6 linked regions of the Callithrix jacchus genome follow. The protein of the gene in region 5 interacts with the protein of the main gene of each other region in a biochemical or structural test. Links are inferred from orthologs where the notes say so. Each region holds a gene or a part of one and is shown on either strand. Other genes may lie near its edges. The genes, in order: PANX1, GSN, HCLS1, PTGES3, CASP3 and CDKN1A.

What was found.
Region 1: of the proteins of CASP3 (region 5) and PANX1, one has a biochemical effect on the other in vitro, tested with the Homo sapiens proteins (2 studies listed by IntAct). The link is inferred for Callithrix jacchus from reciprocal best matches to the Homo sapiens genes CASP3 and PANX1.
Region 2: of the proteins of CASP3 (region 5) and GSN, one has a biochemical effect on the other in vitro, tested with the Homo sapiens proteins (2 studies listed by BioGRID). The link is inferred for Callithrix jacchus from reciprocal best matches to the Homo sapiens genes CASP3 and GSN.
Region 3: of the proteins of CASP3 (region 5) and HCLS1, one has a biochemical effect on the other in vitro, tested with the Homo sapiens proteins (2 studies listed by BioGRID). The link is inferred for Callithrix jacchus from reciprocal best matches to the Homo sapiens genes CASP3 and HCLS1.
Region 4: of the proteins of CASP3 (region 5) and PTGES3, one has a biochemical effect on the other in vitro, tested with the Homo sapiens proteins (2 studies listed by BioGRID and IntAct). The link is inferred for Callithrix jacchus from reciprocal best matches to the Homo sapiens genes CASP3 and PTGES3.
Region 6: of the proteins of CASP3 (region 5) and CDKN1A, one has a biochemical effect on the other in vitro, tested with the Homo sapiens proteins (3 studies listed by BioGRID). The link is inferred for Callithrix jacchus from reciprocal best matches to the Homo sapiens genes CASP3 and CDKN1A.

Annotation. Positions count from the first base shown.
Region 1 is NC_133511.1:46,208,690-46,212,878, forward strand, and holds the start of PANX1 (pannexin-1), read right to left. Parts: upstream 2,801-4,189; 5' UTR 2,356-2,800; coding exon 2,175-2,355; intron 1-2,174. UniProt on the Homo sapiens protein: Ion channel involved in a variety of physiological functions such as blood pressure regulation, apoptotic cell clearance and oogenesis.
Region 2 is NC_133502.1:169,699,613-169,703,737, forward strand, and holds the start of GSN (gelsolin), read left to right. Parts: upstream 1-1,325; 5' UTR 1,326-1,356; coding exon 1,357-1,500; intron 1,501-1,549; exon of another isoform or gene 1,550-1,596; coding exon of another isoform or gene 1,597-1,620; intron 1,621-3,473; coding exon 3,474-3,678; intron 3,679-4,125. UniProt on the Homo sapiens protein: Calcium-regulated, actin-modulating protein that binds to the plus (or barbed) ends of actin monomers or filaments, preventing monomer exchange (end-blocking or capping).
Region 3 is NC_133516.1:81,347,644-81,351,143, reverse strand, and holds part of HCLS1 (hematopoietic lineage cell-specific protein), read right to left. Parts: intron 3,437-3,500; coding exon 3,326-3,436; intron 1,484-3,325; coding exon 1,429-1,483; intron 1-1,428. UniProt on the Homo sapiens protein: Substrate of the antigen receptor-coupled tyrosine kinase. Plays a role in antigen receptor signaling for both clonal expansion and deletion in lymphoid cells. May also be involved in the regulation of gene expression.
Region 4 is NC_133510.1:62,968,856-62,972,925, reverse strand, and holds the start of PTGES3 (prostaglandin E synthase 3), read right to left. Parts: upstream 2,801-4,070; 5' UTR 2,506-2,800; coding exon of another isoform or gene 2,504-2,505; 5' UTR 1,775-2,503; coding exon 1,761-1,774; intron 1-1,760. UniProt on the Homo sapiens protein: Cytosolic prostaglandin synthase that catalyzes the oxidoreduction of prostaglandin endoperoxide H2 (PGH2) to prostaglandin E2 (PGE2).
Region 5 is NC_133504.1:6,758,516-6,761,130, reverse strand, and holds part of CASP3 (caspase-3), read right to left. Parts: intron 2,399-2,615; coding exon 2,223-2,398; intron 1,932-2,222; coding exon 1,811-1,931; intron 1-1,810. UniProt on the Homo sapiens protein: Thiol protease that acts as a major effector caspase involved in the execution phase of apoptosis. Following cleavage and activation by initiator caspases (CASP8, CASP9 and/or CASP10), mediates execution of apoptosis by catalyzing cleavage of many proteins.
Region 6 is NC_133505.1:44,985,176-44,988,310, forward strand, and holds part of CDKN1A (cyclin-dependent kinase inhibitor 1), read left to right. Parts: intron 1-2,465; coding exon of another isoform or gene 2,466-2,470; coding exon 2,471-2,897; intron 2,898-3,135. UniProt on the Homo sapiens protein: Plays an important role in controlling cell cycle progression and DNA damage-induced G2 arrest. Involved in p53/TP53 mediated inhibition of cellular proliferation in response to DNA damage.

The sequences.
Region 1 (4,189 bases), on a different chromosome or scaffold from region 5:
CAATGCAACATGTCCTCCCTTGGAACTCCTGAAAACCCTTCAGAAAACATGGGACTCTGCTCGATAGCGCCTCACCCAAGTGCCTGCCAACCTTCACCAGGCCGGAGCTCATAGCTCAATACCTGTTTGGGTGCTGAATTACACACAGCTGAACAATGTTACCTGCTAACAGATATGTTCTAGTGCCCCAACTGCATAGTAAACTGCCACAGGCCAGAGGGAGGGCAGGGCGAGAACAAGGTCTCAAAACCCTTTCCCGTCTTCCTCAGCACACAACAGTGCTATGCACACAGCATGAGCTCACACCCTTGCTAGGTAAAACCACCCCTAATCACCCAAAATTACCTCTCAGGCAGCCCACCAATTTAGATGTATCTTAAGGCATTACAGGTGCAGGTTCCTTAGGGATCCCTCTAGTACATGCACTAGAGGTGGAGACTGGTCACAGAGGGCGATCAACTCCTCCTTCCTGCCTTTCTGTTCCAACCAGGGACCCAAGACTCGCACCTCCAAGACAGGGTCCAGGCCTCTTTTACTCCCAGGTCCTTGGAGGTCAGCACTTAGTTCAGCACACAGCCAGAACTCAATGAGGAGTTGACTGAAGGGAGAGATTATCTCCAGGACACACGCTATTTGGTGGTTTTCCTTTCAGCTGGAAGCCTCAATTCACTGTCAAATGGGAAGCGAATGAAAATCTCAATGACTATGCCTATGCAAAGAGCAGGAAAACTAGAAACTAACTTTCCACGATGAACTTGGCAGCTTCCTGCCAAACTGAACAACTTAGTGCTGCAGATTGCACAATCACACTCGTCGTCACTCTTTCCTAACCAACTCTTCCCTCAACTTCACTATTCCCATCACCCTCAACACCACACTCCACTCACCCAGATATACAGCCTTCACAGCAAGTTTGACCAGTACTGCCCTTCATGGCCTATTACAAACTAGGTACTCACGTGCTGCTTATTTACTCCTTGATCTTACAGCAATCACCCATCCATTTTCTTCCATTCACACCATCTGTGCACAAGACTTCAACAGACTTCTTGCTTTAAGGCACCTGGCCCTCCAGGTCCCATCCTCTCCTCCTTCCCAAACCCTATATGCCACCAACAGGCTAGTATTTACGTAATGCTATTGTTTTCAACCACTCTGTCCTCTGCTCAAACAATAAACTTCACAGTTCTGAAACCATCAATCTATACTCTTCTATTCCAGGCTGACCCAGGCCCATATTCACTCTCAGATCCCAGGAACTCTTGACTTATCCTCCTGCCGGCTAGGACAGTCACTGTGTCTCTCTTTCCAGGAACATATAACATTATCTGCCATCTCAAAACCTTAACAAAGGTCTTACTCCTGCTTAGCCAAATCCCACCCACCCTCTGACAAAAGTTTCCCCAAAGTCCAGCCACACTAGGCAGTTCCCCCGCCACAGAACTGTATTTAACCCTCCTGCACTACCTTCCTGTTGATTCCTAAAACTCTCTCCTGTGTGAAAGTTAGAACAGCTGATGAGGAAGAGCAGCCACGAAGACTTTCCAATCTCAAACAACACCTATGAAGCTCACATGAGAATTTACAGGAAGGGGACTTGTTCATCTCACATTCATAAGACCGTCCAAATGAAGGATCCCTCTAATGCCTGCCAAGTGCAAATATTTCCTATTATTCACAGCCCTGCAGAGCTATCTCAGCAAATACCAATTAAATATAAGACAGTGAAAGAACACACTTCTCATGAAACAGCGTTCTTCACATTCTCCATGTGGCCACTCAGGAACTTCTCTGGTACAATATTTTAGGCGGCTGGACAGGTATGTAGGAGACAGGGAAGAAAAGAGGGGACACGGCTATTCTTGGCAAATCTGGTGGCAAGGTGCTAGTTTTAAAGGTGGGACATGAACTGTAAGCCACAGTCCCATCAGTGGGTCTCAGGGAACAAGAAAACTGAGGAGTAGGGATGAAAGCTGGGTAGACAAGAGTACCAATGAAACACCTGAGCAAAGAACACTTTGGACTATAAAACCGGGGCCACTATCCTACCTGACATTTACGACCATCACAGTTGGGCGTGCCCAGACTTGGGCCTATGAGCCGTAAAATCGTAAGATCACAGCTCACTCGGCCAGACCCAGACGGCCCTCCCCTCCGACCTGGGCGAAGCTTACCAATCGAGATCTCCTGGGCGAAGGCCAGGGAGATGAGCAGCAGGGGCAGCCCCACGGCGATACACGTGACCATCTTGTCCACGGCCAGCTCCAGTCGCAGCCCCTTGAACTTGGGCTCGGTGGGCTCCTTCAGCAAGAAATCCGAGAATACGTACTCCGTGGCCAGGTGGGCGATGGCCATGGCTGCGGCGCGCCGGGGTCAGCCAGGCAGGTCCAGATACCGCTGGCGTCTGGCGAGCTCCGCGGCGCCTTCACCCCGTCACCGGCCTGGGGCGCGGCTTTCGCTTTCCCTTTGCCCACTCCCCGGCTGCGCCCAAATCCCGCCTGCCTTTGTGTCTCAGCGCCTCCGGGTCGCAGGGACTCTGCTGGGCTCTCGCGCTTGCTGCCTCCGCGGCCGGCGGGGCGGGGACCTGGGCGCGGCGATTCCCGCCGTCCCACCAAGCGCGCTCAGCCCGTGCAAGTCCCCGGGGATGCGCGGCACTCGGATGCGAGCTCTCCAGCGAGCCCGCAGGCGCTTGAACCTCCGGCCCGGCCCCTCCGCGCCGCCCAGACTATAGCGGACTCCTGGCCAGCCGTGCTCTCTCCGCCAGCGGCTGCGGGCTCTTCCGGAACCATCCGGGGAAACCGAGTACCCAGAGGCGTGGAGTTTCCGGAAGACGCGGTGACGCGAGGCGGGGTGGGCGCGGCTGCATCCGCGCCCCTCGGGCCCACCCTCTGACGCAGGGATTTTCCAACAGAATGAACCGGCAACCAAGAGAATGGGAAAACATTTTTGCAATCTACCTATCTGACAAAGGGCTAACATCCAGAATCTACAAAGAACTAAAACATATATGCAATAATAAAACCAACAACCCATCCAAAAGTGGGAGAAGGATATGAACACTTTTCAAAAGAAGACATATATGAGGCTAACAAACATTTGAAAAAATGCTCATCATAACGGATTATTAGAGAAATGCAAATCAAAACCACATTGAGATACCACCTCAAGCCAGTTAGAATGGCGATCATCAAAAAATCTGGACAAAACAGATACTGAAGAGGATGTGGAGGAATAGGAATGCTTTTACACTGTTGGTGGGAGTGTAAACTAGTTCAACCATTGTGGAAGACAGTGTGGCGATTCCTCAAGGACCTAGAAATAGAAATTCCATTTGACCCAGCAATCCCATTATTGGATATATATCCAAAGGATTATAAATCATTGTATTATAAAGACACATGCACAAGTAAGTTCATTATAGCACTGTTTACAATAACAAAGACTTGGAACCAACTCAAATGCCCATCAATGATAGACTGGACAGAGAAAATGTGGAATATTATGCAGCCATCAAAAATGATGAGTTCGTTTCCTTTGTAGGGACATGGATGAACCTGGAAACCATCATTCTCAGCAAACTGACACAAGAACAGAAAATCAAACACCGCATGTTCTCACTCATAGGTGGGTGTTGAACAATGAGAACACATGGACACAGGGAGGGGAGCATCACACATCTGTCGGGGGGAAATAGGGGAGGGACAGTGCGGGGTGGGGAGTTGGGGAGAGATAGCATGGGGAGAAATGCCAGATATAGGTGATGGGGAGGAAGGCAGCACATCACACTGCCATGTGTGTACCTATGCAACAATCTTGCATGTTCTACACATGTACCCCGAAATCTAAAATGCAATTTAAAAAATTGGAAAAAAAAAGAAAGACAGGAGGAAATGCTCTGACCAGTGTCCATGGAAATTAAGGCTATTGAGGTGGAAATAATTTGACTGATTGGAAGGTAAATGTGAGGACCCACCCAAGAAGACTTACCAACAAAGTTGGATATGTTTCAAAGTTTATTAAACGTTGGAAGGCTTTTATAAGAAAGTTTAGGAGAAGGGAGGAGGACCCCTCATATCACAGTTGGGTTTTCAGAGGGTATAGTACAGAGGTTACAGTCACAGGCTGCAGATGACAACACACAGGCTAAAATGCTTTGTGCACAAGAAAATCAAAGTTCATATGATTCAGA
Region 2 (4,125 bases), on a different chromosome or scaffold from region 5:
TGGGAAGCAGGCCTCCTCCAGTTTGGATAGCACTTTCCCTAACCCAATAACTCTAGAGGGAGAGTGGAGGGATGGGAAGGGAGCTTGGGAATGAGGAGGAAATGCAAACTCTCCTCCCACTGCAGAGTCAATGAATAGTACCTAAAAGGGAAACAAAATAAAACAATTTCAAGAAGTAACAAGGGCTTGTTTAGAGACTGAAGGTAAACTCTGAACCATCAGCTAAAAGAGGTAGATAGCAGTGGTTGCCCCTGGGGAGAGGTAAATGGGATGGAGTGGGGGAACAACTGTGTACAAATACTTGACTTTATGTTTTAATCGAAGTAAGACTTTTAAAAAACAAAAACTTTTTTTTTTTTTGAGACGGAGTTTCACTCTTGTTACCCAGGCTGGAGTGCAATGGGGCGGTCTCGGCTCACTGCAACCTCCGCCTCCTGGGTTCAAGCAATTCTCCTGCCTCAGCCTCCCGAGTAGCTGGGACTAGAGGCGAGCGCCACCATGCCCATCTAATTTTTGTATTTTTAGTAGAGAGGGTTTCACCTTGTTGACCAGGATGGTCTCGATATCTTGACCTTGTGATCCACCCACCTCGGCCTCCCAAAGTGCTGGGATCATAGGCATGAGCCACCACCCGGCCCTAAAAAACAAAAACTTTTTAAAAAGGACAGAAAGGCCGTCTTGGGAAAAGTAGGAGGGGGCATCCCAGGAGCTGAGCGTTCTGCCCCGCCCCTCTGAGTCCTGCTGGCTTCACTTGCCCAAGGGAGCTGGGTCCCCTGCCCTGCTGCGGTGCATGCTCCCTGGTGGGGGTTCTCCCAGGCCCGCACTGCCTGAGTTCAAATACCAGGACAGCACCTTTTAGTAGCTGTGTGGAAGTTGCTTCACCACTCTGTGCTGTTCCATCCTCTGTAAAATGGGTTGGCCATTGTCCCCTCTGAAAAGGGTGTGCTGATGCCTCAGTGAAAAGCTTTCAAAAATTGTTAGGTCATGTTATTTTTTTCCTGGAGGTGTTAGGTGCGGAGGAGAGGAGGGGGGCTCGCGTGGGTCACAGGAGGCTCAGCGGGGCTCGCCGTGGTTCGTGCGTGCGACCATTTAGCGTTCACAGAGCCACTGCCTGCTATATGCTAGGCCCGGTGCTGGTGCTGAGTCTCCGCCCCGGAGCTGGGGTGTAGGGGCTGCCGCGCCCTGTCGGGTTGATGCCGGTGGGAACCCAGATGTCTTCAAGATTCGGGACAGATCCCCGCCCCGCGCCCTCCCTGCGGGGCGGTCCCCGGCTTGGGCGGGCTGGGCGGGCGGCTACTTAAGGTCGGCGACCCAAGAACGCAGCTGCCGACTGGGTCCTCTGCAGCTGTCGCCACCATGGCTCCGCACCGCCCCGCGCCCGCGCTGCTCTGCGCACTGGTCCTGGCGCTGTGCGCGCTGTCGCGGCCCATCCGTGCGGCCACTGCGTCGCGGGGGGCGTCCCAGGCCCGGGCGCCCCGGGTGCAGGCGCCCCAGGTGCGGGTGAGTGCCCGGGGGGCCCGGGGCTCCCGGAGTAATTCTCTATTGTAAGTTCTTGCAGATACAGCGCTAGGAAAAGGGGAGTAATTCAGGTCTAGAATGGAAAAACTGTTTTGTTGCTTTGTAAGTATCTCTTGCTGCTTCCGGGGCTCTGGCTCGCAGATGAGGGTGGGAGCCTCGGGGCTCTGGCTGCTCCCTCCCAGGAGGCTAACCTCGCCTTGGCCGGATTTCTTTTCCTCTGTCCCCGTCTGACATCTTACCTCCTGCCTCCTGATTTCTCCTTTTCCTTCTCTGATTTCTTCTGTCTGTGTCACTTCTTTCCTTTCTCTTCCGATGTCTTCTTCCCTTTCCGATTCCTTGTTCGCATTTGCTCTCTCTCCCTCTCCAGTATTTCCTTCTTTCTTGTATGACCTCACCTCTGTCTGCTTATGGTCATTACTATTATTTCTTCTCTCCTTTCTGCTGTCTTCCCTGTCTCGTCTGGTTTCACCTCCTCTCTCCTGTTTCCCTTGTGTTTTTTCACCCTTCTGCCTGAGTTCCCCCCGCCTGGTTTCTCTGACTTTCCCCCTCTGACTTTTACTCCCACCAGATCTCTTCTCCGGCCAGAGGTGACCTGCACCTGCTGATTTTTGTCCTTGACTCCAGCCTAACCCTCCTGCGTCTGCCCCAGCCCCAGCCCCAGCCCCAGTGCATGTCTAACCGCCTCTTCATCCTTAACCACCTCATCTCCAACAGCCTCCTGCAGACCCCGGTGCATCCTCTTCACTTCTTCCAAGAAATGAAATTTGCGGGTGGGACATTGCAGGGCAGGAGGGAGGAGGCAGACAGCGCAGGAGGCCACTTGGGCTCAGCCATTTGGACCCTTCTTGAGGGTATGATAGGGATGGGTGCAGAGAGGAGAGGGGGCTCCTGTAGGCCACAGGAGGCTCAGCTGGGCTCACTGAAGTTTGCAAATGCACCCATTTAACATGCACAGAGTTAGCGCCTGCTGTATGCCAGGCCCTGTGCTGGAAATCTTTCCACTTCCAAAGAGCAAAAGCAAACAGGCTGTGTGACCTTGGGTCAGTCCCCTCCCCTCTTTGAGCCTCAGTTTCTCTATCTGCAGATTGGGTTCAGATAATGAGCTCTCAGAGAGCCTTTTAGTTGTGATAGCCATTGAAGATGCTGGAAGGGAGCAAGCTGAGACCCTAAGAACCCCTAGATTTACTATTGCCATCTGAGGGGTCTACCCATAGTCCCAGAGCTTATGATCTTGGAACCTGGGGCAATCCCTGCTACACTGTTTCCTAGCTGGAGGTCCCTGGCAGAGTCCCATCACCTCTCTGTGCCTTGATTATCACATCAATTGGCAATAAGAAAAGAAGGGAGGCTGGGTGTGGTGGCTCGCGCCTGTAATCCCAGCACTTTGGGAGGCCAAGGTGGGTGGATCACCTGAGGAATTCAAGACCAGCCTGACCAACATGGTGAAACCCCACCTCTACTAAAACTACAAAATTAGCCAGGCGTAGTGGTGCATGCCTGTAATCCCAGCTACTTGGGAGGCTGAGGCAGGAAAATGGTTTAAACCCAGGAGGCGGAGGTGGCAGTGAGCCGAGATCAAGCCACTGCACTCCAGCCTGGGTGACACAGTGAGACTCTGTCTCAAAAAAAAAAAAAAAAAAAAGAAAGAAAAGAAAAGAAGGGAACAGGGAAGTAGAGCCCTCTGTGCCCCCCATCACCAGAAAAAGCCGATGGCAGGTTGAGTAGGAGAGATAGATGCTGGCTGTGGCGCAGGATTTGAGGCATAAAACTCTTGCCCTGTTTGCTGACTCATTGAGACAGGGCATTCAGAAGGGGATAGGCTTGCCTGCGGCATTGGGAGAGCAGGAGGCTCAAGTGAGATGCTCTTGGTGCTAGAAACCACCCTCCCTCATGCCTGGGGTCCCTCCCTGCTAGGACCCATGCCCCTGCTCAAGCTCTGCCCTGTCTCTTCCCAGCCCAGCAGCATGGTGGTGGAACACCCCGAGTTCCTCAAGGCAGGGAAGGAGCCCGGCCTGCAGATCTGGCGTGTGGAGAAGTTCGATCTGGTGCCTGTGCCCACCAACCTTTACGGAGACTTCTTCACGGGCGATGCATACGTCATCCTGAAGACAGTGCAGCTGAGGAACGGGAATCTGCAGTATGACCTCCACTACTGGCTGGGTAAGGCTGGCCCTGCCCAGCCCTGCCCCAGCCCCCATTCTGAACAGTGCAGATCTTTGAGGCGTGGTCCCCAGGAAGGGAACTTATTATTGAGAAACCAGTATGCGCCAGGCTCTTGGCTAGTGGTTCATGCCCCTAGACTCTAGAGCCAGCATGGTCGAGTTCACACCCCTACTCTGCTCCAACCCTTGGTCTGCCTCTGCCCTTTGGCAAGTCACTCGATGTCCCTGTGGAGTGAACATGATGATAGCTCTGCACTACCTCACAGGAATGTTGCGAGGGTTAAACACTTTACTATGGCACTGAGAACTGTGGGTCAATTGGAGACCCTGGACCCCTCCATAACCTCCCTGGGCCAGCTCCAGGCACTTCCTAGTTTGCCCTTCGGAGTCAGGAGCCCTGAGTCCCCGCCACACCTCTGCTGTGTGATGCTATAAGTCCTACCCA
Region 3 (3,500 bases), on a different chromosome or scaffold from region 5:
CTAACACCTAGACATGCCCTAATAATAATGTGGAATATCAGAAATCAAAAGAAAATCTTTAATTTAAAAAAAAACAGAGATAAGACCATGTTACTTACACAGGAAAGATAGTCTGACACAAGAGAGATCTCAGAGACAATGAAATATTATCTTTAAAGTGATGATGGGAATATAACAATAAGAATAATGCAAAATAAAGACATTTTTCAAAGACTGAAAGTCCTTACATAGACTCATTAAAAGGCTTATTAATGGATATATTTTAGCAAGAAGAAAATAGAAGATGCAAAGATGAAACAAAGAAATACAATAAGCAATGGTGAGCTAGAAAATAGGTAAATACCTTGGTCAATTTAAATAAACACTTACTAAGTAATAATAATGATTCATTTTTGTGGGGTTTATAAGATGGAACCAATATACTGAACAACAACAATATGGTTTGATAAAAGAAATGTAGTTAAAATATTCTATGTATCTTATATACTCAGGAAGAGATTGTGATTAATTTTTTTTTTTTTTTTTTTTTGAGATCAAGTTTCACTCTTGTTGCCCAGGCTGGAGTGCAATGGTGCAATCTCGGCTCACTGCAACCTCTGTCTCCAGGGTTCAAGCAATTCTCCTGCCTCAGCCTCCCAAGTAGCTAGGATTACAGGCATGCACCACCACGCCCACCTAATTTTTTATTTTTAGTAGAGACGGGGTTTCTCCATGTTGGTCAGGCTATCCTTGAACTCCCAACCTCAGGTGGTGCGCCTGTCTTGGCCTCCCAAAGTACTGGAATTACAGGTGTGAGCCACCGCACCCGGCCAAGATTGTGATTAATTTTAAATTTAAGTCAAAGATGCATGTTAAAATTTAGGAATAACTTTCTAAAAGGAATAGAATACCTTATTTTCAATCCATTAGAGGAAAAAGAGGGATTCAAAAACTTAATATTATAGAAAGCAATAATGGAGAAAAAGAGAAGCAAGTATAGACTGGGATTAAAAAGTATATAAAATAGTGCTGGATGCGGTGGCTCATGCCTGTAATCCCAGCACTTTGAGAGGGCAAGAGGGGAGGATCACGTGAAATGAGGCCGCCTGGGCAACATAGTGAGACTCCATCTCTACAAAGAAAAAAAAAAATTAGCCAGGCATGGTGGTGCACACCTGTAGTCACAGCTACTCAGAACGCTAAGGTAGGAGGATTGCTTGAGGCCAGGAAGTCGAAGCTGCAGTGACCGGTGATCATGCCACTGCACTCCCACCTGGGTGACAGCACAAGACCCTGTCTCAAAAACAAAGAAACAAACAAAAGTAAATAAAATAGTGGTGAGCTGGGTCACAGGATTAAAAAAGCTGATGACAACTGCTGGAAGATAAAGTCTTAGCAGAAGAGCCTGCCAGTCAGATTGCTGAGACTGAGTGAAGTACAGTTCCTTGCCTTTCTGAGATGTGTGCTTCTCCACTTCTCCTTTATAGTCAAAGCCGACTGCTGACTACAGAGAGGAGGAGAGAGAATTGGTTAGAGTCAGAGCCAACAGGTTTTCCCCTCCCTGACCTGTCCTTACTCCCAGCCCAGCCCCAGAGGTAGTTTGTAGGGTCTTGAGGCTGAGTATGGATGTTTAATGTAGGAACAGGCTGATGTGGACACAGGCTACTACAGAGCAGTGAACGTGGGCCCTGGACACAGATAGTTTTAGGTTCAAACCCTACATCCCCTATTTATAGTTGTTGAAATTTAGGCATGTTCCTTTATATTACTAAGCCCCAATCTCTTTTCATATAAAATGAGGAGAGGCATGCCTGCCTTCTCTAACTTGACTATAAAGTGAGAAAAATGATCCCTCTTCATTTGGGATATCATGAGAACTAAATGGGACAAGGTAAAGTGTCTACTTAGGTTCATTCACTAACTTAGTGCTTTTCTTCCTAACGAATCCTCACAAAACTGAAAGGTAATACCTAGAAAATTGCCTTGTAAAGTAGAAAGCACTCTGCTCATGAAGAGACATTATTCTATTCTCAGTTGATAACGCTGTGCCTCTTCTCTTTCATTACTCAATAATGGAAACACAAATATGTGGATTTTGGTGGGATAACTGCAACCTGGAGAGTCTGGATTCTAGCTGGCTCCGGGACTGGACATGTTGCCCAGATACCTAACATTACCACAGAGTTTTGGAGCTTTGTTCTCCATCTGGCTCAGGAACTATGGGTCTCTAAGCAAGTCTGGGTTTTTGCATCTTAAGAACTCATTAGCATGTATTGTTTCTTGATTTACATGACACACTGACTGGATGATTCCATTTGTGGCTTGTGAGCAAAAGATGTAAGAATCAGAGATTATGCAAAGTCAGGCAGGAGGGGACCAAGATGGAACAGGGAATTCCATCCTGATTCTAGAACATTGCATGCTCCATATTCCACTATTGCCTTTAAAATTTTCCTTCTACATCTTCCCTTGGCTTTATAGTATGTTTTAAACTTTCCTGGTTTTGTTTTTCATGGTTTTTCCCCCCATGATGCAAACAATTAGTGTTCTAGAACTTAGCTTTAAGGATTCATAACAACTGCTGGTTTAAAAAAAAAAAAAGAAAACATCTCAGCTAGCTGTGAAGAAGATGTCCTCCCTCTGTGTGCAGCTGCAAGGGAGGAGACACCATTCTGCACCATGAAAAATAAGTTCAAAGAATCTGACCTAATGAGGCATGGAACTAAACACATCAATGAGTTATCAATCTTACTCTCCTGTCAACAATATGCTGCTATAATGATACTGTACTTTTTTTTCTCTTTAAAACAACATTTTGTTTTGTTTTGTACAAAGGAGTCTTTAAAGATACCCGGACTTTGGATATTGATGCTAAGTCCTGTAAATAGTAACTGTTACTTTCTAAAAAACTGTAACCCTAAATAGTTGTTTAACTTGATTATTTGCTGCCCTCGTAATAACATTTAAACTAACGACTCTGTTTTCCTAAAAGGCATGAGTATTTATAAGGTTTTGATGTTAAGCCAAAAGAAGAGTTTTTCTGATTCTCTGTTTTATCTTCATGCATATGAGTATAATAAAAACCAGGCGCTTGAGGAATTCCTTATTCAAACAGACAGTTTGGAGTCTTCTCCTCATTTGAATCACTGTCTTTCAGCTCAATGTATGGTTTCCAACATTGACACCAAGGAACTTGCTGAGGGAGGTATCCCTGTAATGGTGTCAGGTCCTCACTGCATCCACTGCTGTCTTTCAACAAAGAAGCATGGGCCAACATCCAGGGGTGAGTGTGAGCAAGTTTTACATGACTTGAGGTGGGCGGCGGGGAGACAGAGTTGTCACTTACCTTGTCTGCTCTGTCCCTCTCAACTCCGTACTTGCCCCCAAAGCCTTTGGCAGCATCCGTCTGAGAAGAGTGCTTCTCCACCTCAGCAATGTACTCATGGCCCACTGCACTCTGAGAAAAATCAAGGATGGACTAAGTGAAATGATAAAAATGACCGTAAAAAATAAATACATTC
Region 4 (4,070 bases), on a different chromosome or scaffold from region 5:
TAACTTAGGATGTAAAGAAATGTAACTAGGAAATCGCTAAAGAGCAAATGAGTAAATCAACTGAGAAAACACTCTCCCAAGCCCTTAATGCACCCAGCATAATCTCTCTCCAGATCTTTAAAGAAAAAAAAAAGGTTTTATTAGCCAGGCATGGTGGTGCTTGCCTGCAGTCCTAGCTACTCAGGAGACTGAGGCAAGGAGGATTGCTTGAGCTCGGGAGGTGAAGTGGAGGTTGCTGTGAGCTGAGATCACGCCACTGCACTCTAGGCTGGGCGATAGAGAAAGACCCTGACTCAAAATAAATAAATAAATAAATAAACCCGCATCAGCCAGATTCTTCCTAGGACTGGATGACGACCCAGTAAAGGATTCTTCCACCTCAAACAACCGACTTACAACATTCATTTTGTAATTTCACTTAAATCTTTAACTTGGTAAGAGTCCCTGAAGAATATACCAAATGACACATACTGAATATTTTTAAAAGGATGAAATTAGCTGGTCTCTTTCAAAACATTCATCTTTTCCCTCAACACCCTGCATGTGGCATCGGATCACTTGTTTTGAAAGTAGCTTTTTTTTTTTTTTTTTAACCAGAGAGGCTACTTTTTGGAATAGCCTCTCTACTGCTACATTTTGAGACGGAGTCTCCCTCTATCGTCCAGGATGGAGTGCAATGGCTCAATAATCTTGGCTCACTGCAACCTCCACCTCCAGAGTTAAGGCGATTCTCCTGCCTGAGCCGCCAGACCAGCCGGGATTACAGGTGAGCACCACCATGCCCGACTAGTTTTTGTATTTTTAGTAGAGACGGGGTTTCACAGTATTGACGAGGCTGGTCTCGAACTCCTGATCCCACCGCCTGACCCTCCCAAAGTGCAGGACAGGTGTGAGCCACTGCACCCTGACTTACATTGACTTTTCTTTCAAGTTTTAAAATCTACTTAACTTAGCCATTTCTTACCTATTTAAATATCTTACGTGGCCTCCAGAAAGTGCTCCTACCTCAAGCCAATTTTAAACGTATTTTTCGCGAAAAGATACGTTCAGCTGTATTAAAAGTTGCTAACACCTCATCTGACAATTTTCCCCTTACAGGTTTTCAGAGTATAAAAGGTTAAGACTGAAGTCCCTTTTACATTACCTAGAAGGAAAAGCAAAAACTACTTTACATAGATTCGAATTTGTAAAAACCCCGTTTACGTACCACTTTCAGGGAGGGGGCTCCTCCAAAATTCTAATTTACGCCCTTACAGTAATACACGCTGTGCTCTAGAAGCTTGTTCTCAGCGACAAACTGGCTTCAGTGTACCCCTCACTCATCCCTTTAGACTTTTAGCCAATATATTCACTGTCAGTATCATGGCTTGAATTAAGTAAACCCTTGAATGTTTGTTACTTTTCCGCAGGAATAAAGTTACTCCCCTCATCTCTCCTAAATGGAGTGTGGGCGGGGGAACGCTCCCCTTCAATTGTTCTCAGTATCTTTTAAGACTTAGCTAATAACTTAAAAAATAACGTCCCGTCAAAAAAAAAAAACAAAACCAAACCCTGTAAAACCAGGAGCCCTCACTGGATGTGGCAGTGCCATGAATTCTTATTCGGTTAAAATCAATTAAGGCTTTCCTTTACCATAAAACGAAGATTGCTATAGAACTTGTATTCACCTACACACCATCAAATTTAAGCTTTTTAGGACAACAGTAAGTTAATTACATATCTACTTCATCCTACACTGAGGCAGGATAGTGAAACCTCACCTAAAGTTTAACATGGAACACTGAAAATGTCCGTAGGTATTCTTCCAAAGTCGACACGTGCCCAACTACCTGCTCAACGGTAACTCCTCACTGCCAGGGAAGCGGCTGAGCTCCGGCAACCTCCCGTGTTTTGAACAGACTGGGAGTTAGGAGGCGGCCTAGAAGTACCCACACTCAAGAAACCCAGACACAGGAGAGGGAAGTAAGTTGCGGCGTGGGCATGGCTTCCCTCCAGTTACCTAGCAGTACCATGCAGCTCACGGCGAGGTCCGCGTGGGGCTCTCCCAGGAGCTCCGCCAGGTACCTGGCGACACCCACTACAGGTGCGCTCGGCCCAGGGCCTGGCCCCGGGACCACGGAGCAGAACTGGAGCGCCCAGGCGGCCGAGAAGCGACCCGCGGGGGTTCACGCTTCAGGGCGCCGCATGGCGAGCAGCTACCAGGAGCTCAAGGCCTAGGGTGAAGTTACAGAAAGCGAGTCGGCCAGACGGCCAAAGGGGGAAAAGTAGCATTTCCGGCACGGGGAAGCGGAGATCTGGAGGAAAATGTCCTCCACTCGCCAACGGTAACCGGAACAAGGATACTAGATCTCCCGCCCCCAGGCAGGCACAACTGCCACCACCGATGCGAGAAAGACTGGGGGGGCCGAAAGTGGAGGGAGGGCCGCGGCCGCATTCCCGGAGCCCCCGACGCGGCCTTGGCCTCACTCCGGGCGACCTTCCCTCGGCGGGGTGTCGCACTCACATTGTGAACGGGGCAGGGGGACGGGCGAACGGGTGGGCGGGCCTCTCTGGCGGCGGCTGCTGCTAAGGAGTCGACTTCTCTCCGCTGGCGACTCCGCGTTTTCTCCCCGGTCGCGGCCTCTTCTCGCTTCCCTCAGGCGACGGCGACAGCGGCGGGCTCGACCTAGCTCCCCAGAATGCACCGCGCGGAAAGAGCGGCTCCTCCGGTCGGGGAGAAGAGGAAAGTGTAGGAAAACGGGCGCGAGGACGGAGAATGAACGTGCGTGCGTGCGAACGAGGGGTGGTGAGGCCGGGCGGCGGCTGGTGACGCAGCAAAATGCCCGGGCCTTGCCACCGCGCGTGCGCAGTCCTTGTTTTCGGGCTCCGGCGCGGCTTTCTAGAGATATCTACGGAAAGGGCGGGGCCTCCCAGCTCCTTCGCGATCCTTCCTGGCGCCGGCCCCGCCCTTCGTCCGCCACCCTACCCCCACCCCGGCCCCCGCTAGTCCTTACGCGTTCCCGCCTCTCCTCCCGCGGTGTCCTCTCGCGTTAGAAAACCGTTGGCCGCCCAACCGCCCGGCCACGCTCTTTGGGCGATTTCTCTGAGAAACCGCTGCGTTGGCAGCGGGAGGAAAGGCCGAGGCGGAGGGACGCGGAGTCGGGATCGTGGAGAATTGAAATGGAGCGTTGGTTACTCTTGAGGGAGTAAATCAGCTCACGCAGGAAACATTCCACCACAAAAACGTGAAAAGCCTGTGCTGTGGAAAAGGGCTCACTTCACCATTTTTCTGAAGGTTGGAGGCTCTGTCCAGGGACAGCGGACATTCGAGGTTCTTGGCGGAGGAGGAGCGTTTGCCATTCGGGGCTGGCTTTTGCCCCTGTCTTGAGACCTTAGTACTGTAGATGAGCCACGAAGGATATTTGAGGGGAGAGTCTAGGTTTCTGGAATGGAGAGGCTAAGACACTTTGTGTCTCCATGCACATTATTTGGGGAAGAAGGGATTCCCCGTCGCTTCCTACAACACACTACTAGGGTGTAGTAGGGCATAGTAACCGAGAGACCCAACACAGCCCTGCTCACCAAGAGGCTACTTAATGGTGGAGTAGGGGAGAAATACTCCAGTGCACTGCATTTTGAACAGGAAGGAGGTTTAAGGAAAGTGCTATATTTCTGAAGAATGAGGTTTCATAATAAGCATTAAGGTGCTTAGTGTCTGCTGTACAAGGCAGATTATTGGGGAGCTACGAAACGTGGATCCTAGCTCAGATACCGTTAAAGAGGGAAATTGGGCTGGTGCAGTGGCTCACGCCTATAATCCCAGCACTTTGCGAAGCCAAGGAGGGTGGTTCCCTAGGTCACGAGTTCGAGACCAGCCTGACCAACATAGTGAAACCCCATCTCTACAAAAATACTAATTAGCCAGGCATGGTGGCATGCGCTTGTAATGCCAAAAACTAGGGAGTATGAGGTGGGAGGATAGCTCGAACCCGGGAGGCGGAGGCTGCAGTGAGCACAGATCATGCCATTGTACTCCAACCTGGGCGACAGAGTGAAAGCCTGTCTCAAAACGAAGCTGGGCGCGGTGGATC
Region 5 (2,615 bases):
TCTATAAAGAGGATTATAAGTAACAGTGTTCCGATCACATTTCACCTGATTTTAATACTGACTTAGCCAAGAAATAAATTGCTTTGAGTGTCCTATTTGTCTACAGAGCATCTGAATAAAGTATAATACACATATTCCAAAGGTCCAAAAAGGGAAAAGAGTGTATTTATCATACTTTTCTTTTTCAGGTTAACTGTTGGACCCATTGCTTTTAACTTAGAGGTACTTTGCTGAGGAAGAGGCCTAGGGGATAGAGGAAACCACACTGTGCACATATTAAAATGCGACACTGCATAAAAATACATTTAGTTGGCTGGGCACGGTGGCTCATGCCTGTAATCCCAGCACTTTGGAAGGCCGAGGCAAGCAGATCACCTTAGGTCAGAAGTTCGAGACCAGCCTGACCAACATGGAAAAACCCCACCTCTACTAAAAATACAAAATTAGCCAGGTGTGGTGGCACATGCCTGTAATCCCAGTTAGTAAGGAGGCTGAGGCAGGAGAATTGCTTGAACCCAGGAGGCAGAGGTTGCAGTGATATGAGATAGCGGCATTGCACTCCGGCCAGGGCAAGAAGAGCAAAACTCCGTTTCAGAAAACAAAACAAAACAAAACATTTCCCATTTCCTTCAGGTGTCACGCCCTCTGGCACCCTGAGTAGTTGTATAAGTAAATGGTGGCATAATCAACAAATATTTCTTTTTTTTTGAGGAGTTTCGCTCTTGTTACCCAGGCTGGAGTGCAATGGCGCGATCTCGGCTCACTGCAACCTCCGCCTCCTGGGTTCAGGCAATTCTCCTGCCTCAGCCTCCCGAGTAGCTGGGATTACAGGCACGCGCTACCATGCCCAGCTCATTTTTTTTGTATTTTTAGTAGAGACGGGGTTTCACCATGTTGACCAGGATGGCCTCGATCTCTTGACCTCTTGATCCACCCGCCTCAGCCTCCCAAAGTGCTGGGATTACAGGCTTGAGCCCCTGCGCCTGGCCCTCAACAAATATTTCTTTAGATGACGACAGGTACAGCAGAACTGTAAACAGTGGAGATTAGCAGCATATTCATATGTCATTTCTTACCTTCTTTGTTATCTCCCACTCCACATCTATCCTCTCATATACTAGTCATGTTTATCTTTTTTATTTACTACCTTTCAAATAATTCCTGAGAAACATACTTCTCTTCTTCTTTAAAATGCAGGGAAGCTCTGTTTTGGCCTCTGTTGCCATGTAATATTCTACCTGGTAAAAAGTCCAATGAATGACATTGCTCTAGTCTACTCTATGTATGCATATTTTCTTTTCTTTTTTGAGAAGGAGCCTCGCTCTGTCACCCAGGCTGGAGTGCAGTGGCACGATGTTGGCTCACTGCAACCTCTACCTCCCAGGTTCAAGTGTTTCTCCTGCCTCAGCCTCCCGAGTAGCTGGGATTACAGGCACGCGCCACCACACTCTGCTACATTTTTTATATTATTAGTAGAGACAGGGTTTCACATTGTTGGTCAGGCTGGTTTTGAACTCTTGACCTCAAGTGATCCACCCGCCTTGGCCTCCCAAAGCAGTAGAATTACAGGCATGAGCCACTGCACCCAGCTATTTATGCATATTTTCTAGCCAAACTTTTGGCTAAAGACAACTTTTGGAGACTTCTCTTTGATGAAGGTACCCTAAAATATAGACAAGTTTGTATCTTTAGGGATATCAAAATCTTGACAGTCTCTGAAACACACTCTTCACTGTATAATTTTATGATTAGTCACAGTAAAATTCATTTGAAATCCACATGTAACATTCATTATGTGCAAGGTTCTCACCAGGTGCTGTGGAGTATGCATACAAGAAGTCGGCCTCCACTGGTATTTTATGACACGCCATGTCATCATCAACACCGCTGTCCGTCTCAATGCCACAGTCCAGTTCTGTGCCACGGCAGGCCTGGGCATTAGAAAATAAATATTTATTATAAAAATTTGTGTGTGCACATATAACTTATTTCTAAGAAATTGAAACACTATGTAAAAATGGATGTTAATTATGTTGTCTTTTTGATATGTAAGTATAAAATTAAAATTTACTCCGTATCTTTTAAGTGGTAGTTTAAGTAAATGAAAAGTAACGATAGTTTCTTAGCTTCAGGAAAAAAACCACACATCCTTTGGCTAATTTACAATTGAGAAAATTAGCCCCTGATTAATCTTCAATCACCAAATCACTCAGTTACGTTACCTGAATAATGAAAAGTTTGGGTTTTCCAGTTAGACTTCTACAACAATCCCCTCTGAAAAAGCTTGTTATTTTTTTCAGGTCAACAGGTCCATTGGTTCCAAAAATTATTCCTTCTTCACCATGGCTCAGAAGCACACAAACGAAACTGCTCCTTTTGCTGTGATCTTCTTTAGAAACTGAAAAGACATTTGCACATAAAAGGAAAAAAATCCATGACTTCATTCAACAACTTCAGATATACTGTATGGGAACATGATGAAGAGACAGAGTAAAACTAAGAGATCATCTTAACCGAACCTGGGCTCAGCAACGTATCTGAAACTATTTTAGGAAGTGGGCATAAGTAACTTTTTTAAAACTTCTTACTAAAATAGGTAAGATTAGAATTATGTA
Region 6 (3,135 bases), on a different chromosome or scaffold from region 5:
TAGAGATAGGGTCTCTCTGTGTTGCTCAGGCTGGTCTTGAACCCCTGGGCTCAAATGATTCCCCCACCTTAGCCTCCCAGAGTATTAGATTACAGGTGTGAGCCACTGCCCCTGGCCTCCCCAACTGATTCTGATGGGACTCTCTGGTTAAGAAACCTCAAAATTAGAGAGGGAGTAGGTTCAATACTAGAGCACAGGACTCAGGGCAAACAGGCCTGTGTTCAGATCCTGACTCTGCCATTTATGAACTGTGTGACACTGGACAAGTTGCTTAACTTCTCTGAGCCTTTGTTACCTCTGCTGTAAAAAGGGAGCAAATAGCTATTCACTTTTTAGAGGATTGACATTTTTAAACTGCTTAGAACAGCCCCCATACATGAAAATATACAAATGAATCCCAACTCATGCCTAGGAGAGGGTAGACAGAGGTTCCTTGAGGGCTCTGTCCACTGTACTGTGTGACTCCTTTATGGGGCAGTGGCCTTTGGCCTTTTTAGCTGTATGACTTGGGGGCAAGTCTCGTATCTCTTCCATCTCCTGCCCTTTAAACTTGGTGTGAGGTTACCAAGCACCTCCTCTCCCAACCAGCTGGGACGTGAAACTGATCACAAGCAGTGGGGTGAGGTGGGATGGAGCAGATGTGGCATGTGTCCCAGGCTTCCTGCCTCAGGAACACTCAGCAGAGATTTCACCCCCTAGAGCCTGCAAGTTGGGACTTGTCCCTAGGAAAACCCAGTTGCTGCCAAGGTCGTGCAGTCCCTCAGTCCTGGAGTCAAGCCAGAGCGGGCAGCTAGGTGCCAGGGCTCCCTCATTGGCAAACTCACCCTTGGTTTTCCCTCTCCTGAAGTGGGAGGAGAGGAGCCAGGTAGATCAGCCACCTTTAATTTTCTTTGTCTGCAAAACGAGTTCCTTGGACACAGGCAGCACCGGGCAGGGGCTGCCAGGTGTCTAGACTTCAGATCACCTGATGTGCCTGGCAGGATGTGGCTCAGCCTGGGAGAAATTATCTTCTGCCCCGCCCTGCCCAGCCCCGCCCAGCCCCTCCTTACCCCTAGGCCACCCGCCTGATGACATCCTTGGGAAAGGGCTTCAGCCTACAGCACCTGTCAGCTGCTGTCTGAAGGGGATCATTGGCAGGGGGAAGTGATAGGGAGGAGGCTCAGTAAAACTGAAGGCAGACAGAAATAATCACACTTCCATTTTCCAAGCACTTCTGTATATGAAGTGCTGCTGGCACCTTACCTACATTAACTCAGTTAATCCTCACATCTATCCTCTGAGACAGTCACCATTACTATCTCCATTTCACAGATGAGGAAAATAGAGCTCAGACAAGTTAAGTTGCTTGTCCAGGGTCATTTAGTAAAACCTGGACTTCAACCCAGGCGATCTGGCTCCAGAGCCTTTCCGCTTAGCCCCCAAGATACAGCCTTTCATTCAGCTCTGTTCCATCTGCCTTGCTGGGTGGACTCCCCAATCAATTGCTTGAGTATGTGTCCACAGCCATGCTCTTTTTTTTTTTTTTTTTTGAGACAGAGTTTTGCTCTTGTTGCCGAGGCTGGAGTGCAATGGCACGATTTTGGCTCACCACAACCTTCGCCTCCTGGATTTGAGAGATTCTCCTGGCTCAGCCTCCTGAGTAGCTGGGATTAGAGGCATGTGCCACCACACCCAGCTTATTTTGTATTTTTAGTAGAGATGGCATTTCTCCATGTTTGTCAGGCTGATCTCAAACTCTGGACCTCAGGTGATCCGCCCACCTTGGCCTCCCAAAGTGCTGGGATTACAGGCGTGAGCCACCATGCCCAGCCCAGCCATGCTCTTTAAACTTGCACATGGCCCCCTTTATGGGTGAGGAAACTGAGACCTAGAGACAGTAAGTGGCTTTTTAAAACTTAGGTAGTAAGTGGCAGAGCTAGGACCACAACCCAGGTGCTTTTTGCCCCAGAGTCCAGGGTACTTTTACTCGGCTGAGTAGGGTTACCCTACTCGGGCATCTGGGTGGGGGTTCAGGAGGCTGGAGGAACTGTCAGACTGTTTATTTGGGAACTGACCTCCTGGCCAGGGCTGGGATTCAGAAACTGCTGGACTCTGGCAATTCACACGTATTTGGGGGCATTCACACCCATGAGGGACACCTCGGGGGGAAAACAAATTGATTTTAGCTGATAATACCTGGTGGTAAACAGGACCCTGATCCTCGCTTTTGCAATAAACTTGACTTTGTTGACATTAGCTTGCCCTTCAGCTGCCTGCTCCCCCAGTGACCTTGGGGTGACAGGCTGGCTGAGCTCTGCTGGTGGGGGTCAGGCCTCCTGTGAGATGGAGGCAGGAAGACCAGCTGGAAGGAGTCAGAGAGACCCTGTGGTAGGAAGACCTCATGAGGTGGCACAGCAAAGCCCAGCCAGGTAGTGTAGTGTCCAGTTTCCGCGGTGACCAGGGCCTTCCTTGTGTCTCTGCTGCAGGCACCATGTCAGAACAGGCTGGGGATGTCCGTCCGAACCCATCCAGCAGCAAGGCCCGCCGCTGCCTCTTCGGCCCAGTGGACAGCGAGCAGCTGAGACGCGACTGTGATGCACTGATGGCAGGCTGCATCAAGGAGGCCCGTGAGCGATGGAACTTCGACTTTGTCACTGAGACACCACTGGAGGGTGACTTCGCCTGGGAGCGTGTGTGGGGCCTTGGCCTGCCCAAGATCTGCCTTCCCAAAGGGCCCCTGGGAGGAGGCAGGCGGCCTGGCACCTCGCCTGCTCTGCTGCAGGGGACAGCGGAGGAAGACCACGTGGACCTGTCGCTGTCTTGCACCCTAATGCCTCACTCAGGGGAGCGGCCTGAGGAGTCCCCAGGTGGACCTGGAGACTCTGAGGGTCGAAAACGGCGGCAGACCAGCATGACAGGTGAGGACAGGTGCAGGGAAGGACATTGTAAGGGACCAGGATTCTCAGAGTCCATGGTCCAAGGGCTGACCTGTCCGGTCCTGGTCTAGTGTGCTCCTTAGGTAGAAGGGAACAGACCCAGAGGTCACACAGCAAGTAGGCAGCCAAGACCAACTAGCTAACATTGGTGGGGACCTTATATTATGCCAGGCCTTTTGCCAGGCTTCTAAGGTAGATTTATTTAGTCCTTATGCAATGT